2 linked regions of the Drosophila melanogaster genome follow. The protein of the gene in region 1 interacts with the protein of each later gene in a pairwise test. Each region holds a gene or a part of one and is shown in the gene's direction. Other genes may lie near its edges.

The links. The genes of interacting proteins can lie anywhere in the genome.
Region 2: the proteins of CG10344 (region 1) and CG12012 interact in a two-hybrid assay, tested with the Drosophila melanogaster proteins (one large-scale study listed by BioGRID).

The regions. Positions count from the first base shown.
Region 1 is NT_033778.4:22,425,233-22,428,546, reverse strand, and holds CG10344 (uncharacterized protein), read left to right. Parts: upstream 1-1,569; 5' UTR 1,570-1,633; coding exon 1,634-1,865; intron 1,866-1,920; coding exon 1,921-2,525; 3' UTR 2,526-2,565; coding exon of another isoform or gene 2,566-2,745; 3' UTR 2,746-2,803; downstream 2,804-3,314. Other genes in the region: ppk12 (pickpocket 12), read right to left, coding at 2-90, 144-259, 311-592, 657-857, 917-1,068; CG46442 (uncharacterized protein), read right to left, coding at 2,566-2,745, 2,804-2,971; rad50, read right to left, coding at 3,090-3,314.
Region 2 is NT_037436.4:3,374,888-3,378,545, forward strand, and holds CG12012 (uncharacterized protein), read left to right. Parts: upstream 1-1,869; 5' UTR 1,870-1,993; coding exon 1,994-2,060; exon of another isoform or gene 2,061-2,111; coding exon 2,112-2,413; 3' UTR 2,414-3,105; downstream 3,106-3,658. Other genes in the region: CG12010 (uncharacterized protein), read left to right, coding at 1-289, 347-1,147, 1,204-1,700; Ids (iduronate 2-sulfatase), read left to right, coding at 3,398-3,601.

The DNA.
Region 1 (3,314 bases):
CTTTAAAACCAGGTCCATTGGTCGAAGAGCAATAGTATTCGCCCATCTCAGCATCAAGTACGGCAGTAAATCCCAAGGTGATACCAGTGCCTATAGTACATATTTGAAATACTCTATTCATTAACGATTCTCTGATATTTTACCACTAGCGGTGGCTGGATAGAACTTGGGGGGCAATTGTTCCGGATATCCTGACTCCGGATCCCACATAACACTTTCAAACCCATCAGAGTTCGTCAAGTTCCGGTTGTTATTTGCACTGTCAAAACAATAAATCAATTATTTTAATTTAATGAACCCATCTAGTTACAATGGCTTGTAGAGATATTCCGGTGGTTGAAAATTGAAGACGCAACACAGGCCCTCATCCGTCAGGATCTGCTGAAACAGTTGCGAACAGTTTCGCTCCACGGCACTGAATCTACAAAAAAGCAACATTCTCTCGCAGGACTGCGAGTGATTTGAAACAAATTCGGATATCTTCAGGTTGTTCGTGACAAAATTCGAAGCGGAGAACTCCTCATCAGCCTCACTGGATTCCCAGCTATCCGATTCACATAATAGCTTCAGAAGGGCACTTTCATTGGAGCCCCTGGAACATAATTTAATTTCAAAATGATGGATGGACGATTGCCTTAGAGGAAAACCGAACTTACTCTCTGTAATTGGCTACCAGACTCCTCTGCACCTGGTTCATATTGCATATGGTTATTGCCGGAAAAGGAACCTTCAAAATGGAGGTGGCCTGTGGGCTGATGCCGATTATAACCGGCGTGCTATCCCACTTCACATAGATGTTCGATATGAGGTGCACCGTGATGATGAGGGCGGTGACAAAGGAGCCAAGGAAAAACGATCTAAAAAGGGTTTTGCAAATGTAGCTCAAAATCCGCACTTGGATGTGCTCCTTTCCCACCTCTCCCAGCTACTCAGGCCGGAATCGCCCACAAACTTGAGTCCATGCAGACTAGTCTGGTTGAGGAACTGCCGCAGACTCCTGACGAAGCTCTTCAGCAGAAATAACGAGGATCCCTGCCTTTCCGTTCCGGCTGACGGCGACGGTTCCATAGCGAACTGTTTACTTAATGACCCTTGACACCTGCATAAATACTTGATATCGCAAGCAATCAGGTGTCGGCACACTTATTAAAGAGGCATGTAATTAAGGTTTTACCCCGATTACGGCGGCATTCGAAGGAGTGAATCCTTTCAAGTTAATTAAATTCTCAATGCTGGCTTGCCGTTGGCGTTTAAATGTATATGTATGTATTCATGGCACACGCCATCAAGCATACGACGTGTGGCCCGTCTTGATAACATGTATAAGTGCATGGCCGCAGTTTTACACCACCCCGCGCTTGATATCAAACTTTAATTCGGTTAGCTTTGGAGTTTATCAAATTATATTGAACTCGGGTTCAATGAATCACATTCAATCATACTGAACGCAAACTTTTCGCCGCAAAAACATAGAAAGCGAGCTTTTTACCGGCGACCCATTAGCTTTGGCCTCGAAAGCTTGATAAAATAAAGCTCAACCGCACGTGATGTTACAGCAACCGGTTATCAAGTTAGTTCTCTTTCTGACATATCGGAGATCGGTGCCTATTTATTTACCTTAGTAGCACAGATCATGAGAATCCGGAGCAACCCAATGCCCAGCCGGATGGTGGACATCTTGTGCTTCCTCATCATTGCGGTCTTTCTCCCGGTGGTGTTTATGTTCGAGATTGTGGTGGTGCTGCCTGCCTTCCATGAACCGGGTGGCTTCTTCCACACCTTCACCTTTCTTATGGCCATGTTCCTGGTGTTTAACATCAAGGGAAACATGATTGCCTGCATGATGATTGACACAAGTGTAAATGGTAAGTCGCAGCAGGTCTTATAATAAATCCGATAAAATGCATATCCCATTTCCAGTGAAAAAGGTGGAACCACCATCGGATCAGTTGAATTGGCGTGAGTGCGGCGAGTGCCAGAAGCTAGCACCACCCAGATCTTGGCATTGCAAGGCCTGCAAAGTGTGCATTCTGAAGCGGGATCACCACTGTATCTACACCGGCTGCTGCATTGGACTCAGAAACCATCGCTTCTTCATGGGCTTTATATTCTATCTCTTCGTGGGATCAGTTTACGCACTGGTGTACAACTCCATATACATGTGGGTCATCCACGGCCACATCTACAGCAACTGGGTGACGGTGTTAAAACTCGCCTGCCCCATGTTACACCTGGTAACGGGCAGTTTTTGGACCAACATGTACCTGGTCTTCTACAGCTTAAATATTTTAGCTCTGGCTTATGGAGTCCTCCTCCTGGCCTACCATGTGCCCATTGTTTTAAGGGGCGGTGTTTCCGCCGATCGCACTAAGGAGAGCAAAGAAAAGTACGACAGAGGAGTGTATCAAAATCTAAGGAGCGTTTTTGGAAACCGCATGCATTTAGCGTGGCTGTCCCCACTGATTCGCAGCGATCTGCCGGAAGACGGATACCACTGGAATGTCCCTACGAACAAACAAGACTAAGACTGATTAGGATCTAGGATAAATATCTGCTGTGCAGTTCCTACCTGGGGATCCCGTAAATGACTACTGTGACTTTGGCAACCTCTGGCTGGTTAAATGTTAGTCTTAAGATAGTGAAGTTGTAACCAATACCGCCGGACAGAACGGACGCCTGGCCTTTCCATTCCATTTCACTTTCATCGATGACCAATATCATGTTTATATGAAAGCACATGCTACCCTGTACAAAAATACCTAAGAGATCTTCCACTTTATTTAAAGTAATATATTTAAAATACCTTTTGTGTGTACTTCACGTCTACGAAATCCACAAATTCAGTGGTGAATATTTCAGTCTCATATATGGGAACAGCTAGAAAGTGCAGCATGCCAAATTGTACGGAGTGGCATGCAACTTCTGCATAAGCAAGTATTGCCAGCAGCAACAGACCACACGTATTGGCCATTTCTAAAAACTAAACCCATCATTCTTTGTTACCACACCTGCGCGGCCAATTGTCCCCGTCTATAACTGATTTGATGACTAGACAAGCAAACATAGATTGATAACAAAAATAATATTTTTTATTGATCTATCAAAGCTTTCTTTGATGGACCCGCCTCCACTCTCCGTATAACCGACTTGCACTCCTCGTTGCGGAAGACCCGATGGTAGGAGGTTATCTTGCCCAGAGACGAAACGAAATTCTCGTCGTGAGTGATGATGATGAGCATAAAGTTGGACTGGCTTTGGCGCTCCTCCACGATGCAATTCAGGGCTTCACATAGCGAGTTTATATTGGCGCGATC
Region 2 (3,658 bases), on another chromosome or scaffold:
TTCAAGTATTTGCCACACAGCTTCGAGCGACCCATGGAGCAGTTGGAGAAGCTCCTGGAAACCTCTAAAATCAGCTTTTCGCATAGATTTCCTACTACAGCATTGGTTGTGGGTCCGGTGGACTGTGGAAAAAGTGGTCTACTCAGTGAGTTCCTGCGTCGTCATAGCTGCAACTGTTTTTACATTACAGCCAGCCAGGTGCTGCGCTCATATCCCGGCGAAACCGAAGAGGAGTTGAGGAGGATCTTTCAGGCTGCTCAGACTTTCAAGGAGAAACTACGTCCATTATGTAATTTTCACAGTGTTTGTTTTACGTTTGAAATATTAATTAGTTTTATATTTATAGTGCCAATTGTAATCCTCATTGAGGATCTGGAGCTGCTCTGCCCCTCAACGGCTGTCGCAGATGCAAAAAACTCTAGCAATAGCCTACGAATTTCAGCTGAGCTCTACAAACTGCTAGACGCACTTCCTCGAGGCATCATATGTCTGGCAACTTCTGGTGTCCCGGACTCCTTGCATGAACATGCGCGCAGGCGGTTCGTCCGAGAGGTGACCATTAATATGCCCAGCGAAGGGCAGCGCAGACAACTCGTAGAGCATCTCTGCGAAGTACACGAGCTGAATATCTCACAGACTTTACTCGAGCATATAGCGAGAAACACTCAGGGATATGTGATAGCGGATTTAACACTACTCCTGCGCCGCGTTCAACAGCAACTCTTAACAAAAGACGACTTCGACATAGAGCACATTTTCCTCAAATCCCTGTCACAAACTCAACCGAGTGCATCTCGATCCACAGATGTGCGGGTCTCGAAGATGACGGCTGGGTTTGAGGTTATCGGAGGCATGGAAGCACTGAAACGTACCTTGCAAGTCTCCGTTCTAGCGGGTATAAGACAAAGTGCCGCTTTTGCTCGATTCGGACTAAGTTTGCCCAAAGGAGTGCTGCTCTATGGACCTCCAGGATGTGCCAAGACCACCGTAGCCAAGTGCCTGGCCAAGGAAGCTGACATGACCTTCATTGCTACGTCGGCGGCGGAGGTGTACTCTCCCTACGTCGGTTGCGCGGAAAGATTTATATCGCGAATCTTTGACACAGCGCGAAAAAATGCACCCTGTCTTATATTTCTAGATGAGATAGGTGAGTCGGATAAGCTTAATTTGCCATAAAAATGATTAATCCACTTAATTTTATAGATTCGCTTGTTGGCAGAAGGACGGTCTCAAGTGGCGGAGGTGGTGGACAAGTTCAGCTGAGGATTCTCTCCACGCTGTTGACCGAAATGAATGGCATTGTGGGGGGTGGTAGTCAGCAACATATACTTGTCGTTGCAGCCACCAATCGACCGGATATGATCGATGATGCCCTACTGCGACCAGGACGCTTTGACAAGCTTATCCATGTACCAGCCCCAGATGAGAAATCCCGCCTGGCTCTGCTAAAACTCCACTCCCAGCGCATGCCTTTCCATGAAAATGTGTTTCTCCAGGAGATTGCTGCCCGAACAGACCGGTATTCTGGAGCGGATCTGTGTAATCTCTGCAATGAGGCGGCTATCGAGGCTTTTCAACGTGACTTTAAGGCCACGGAAATTGAGCTACAAGACTTTGAAAAAGTTCTGACCAAGCAGAAATCCTCGCTCACTCAAAGCCAAATAGATGGCTACTATAAGTTTGCTTATAGGTTCTTATAGAACAAGATGTATGTGCAGTTGCATTTGTTAGTTTTGCATAAATAAATGTATTTTAAGATGTTAAATCGTAGAATTCTTTGCTCAAATTCAAACTACTGATTTACGATATGTACTCCCGCGACCACGATTACCAATCGATAGAATAGTCGCAGTCAGCTGTTGCAACGATAACTGATTGCGGCAAAACAAAGAAAACGCAGAGAAAAAGTTAACGCAATTAAACGTAGTAAAAAAGCCTAGACTATTTTCATAACAAGAAGCAGTGAGTCACAAAAAAAAGCTTTCCGGCCACAATGGCAGATACCCGTAAAGACGCCGCGCCGCCGAGCTACGAAGAAGTCATGAACAGTCCCTCGCAGGGTAAGTAATAGGCTCACTAAAGGCATCCAATTCAATGCACATCTTTTTTAGATTCCCGGCTGATAGTGGGCGTGCATCAGGGAGCACCTAGTGCTCCGCCACCAAACATGCACATGCCAACCTACGGAGCTTTCGAGACGACGCCGGTCAGCGTGGTGATTCAGCCTGCTCCGGTCGCTATGCCCACCGAGATCATCGTGATTGGAGGATGCCCTGCATGTCGGATTGGATACCTGGAGGACACCTTCTCCGCCTGCGGACTGTGCTGCGCAATCTTCTTCTTCCCGCTGGGAATTCTCTGTTGCTTGGCCATGCGTGAGAAGCGCTGTTCCAACTGCGGAACGGTTTTCTAGAGGGGATTACCCAGAAATTATCCATAAAGAAACGCTAAAAGTTGATCCCTATTAGGCTTTCGCGGTGGGTGACTATCACAAAGCACCAATATTTTTGTTATTGTTAATCGTTAGCTCGCAAATCATTATATACTATGTGTAAATATTATTCATGCCAGCCTGCGGAATGCCCCCGATTCCATTCCAGTCCCTGTCCGGAGAATGGTCATGTACAGTGAAATATGCTAAACTCGAATTCAAATCAGTAAGCCCAGTTATGAAAAAAATGCTAAAAAAAATCAGTTGAACATGTTTTCCAATTGAATAGTGATTTGGCTTTTTACAAGGATTTTAAGTAACATAAGTTTTAAACTGCAAACAAAAGAAAAAATATTTATATATTTAAATAAAAGGTTTACAACATGTTTATTATATCTTAGAGTAATGGTACGCAGATATAATGACTTGGACGGTTTTAGATATGAACTAGGTTGTACAAAACTTCATTAGTTCTTGATTTGTGAATAATTTGACCCACTGTTGCATTTCGTGATTATAGAACTTTTACTGTACTTGTAAAATGTGCACTGTAAGCGTCGACGAGGCGCGCTTCCGTTAAATTCAATTGAAATATAATGGAGGGCGGTTTTGAATTGCGCCGCCCGTCCGATTTCTCTTCTCCATGCTCTTTGGACTTTACCGCGCAAAACAGTAAACAAGTGAAGTGTTTTAAATGAATTTGGGAATGACATAAATATACCCTTCAAATGCATCAGGAGATTAAAAGAAAAACCCTTCAAAACGCCATATTTTAGATATTTGAATTTTTGAATATATATAGATTACTTGATTTTCAAAATTTTTATAAAACCAAATGTATGAGCCGCTGATATACCCCCTTATCAGATTTCATGGGCACAGGGTAGCACAACAAATTCGCCGGCATCCACATCCGCCGTGTCGGCATCTTCGAGTCAACAGTTGTGAGCTTCCTTCGCCGTAGACATGATCACTGCTCGTCTCCTGCTCTCGCTGATGATGCCAGTGCTGCTGGACGCAGCTGCTCCGCCACGACGGCCGAATGTGGTGATGGTGATCTTTGATGATCTGCGTCCAGTTATTGGAGCTTATGGCGATACGCTGGCCAGCACGCCGTATTTGGATAACTTTGCTAGAGGAAGTCACATCTTTACAAGAGTTTACAGCCAGGTGGGCAGCCTGTGATCATTGATGTGCGGACCTAATAAAACACATATATATTGAATC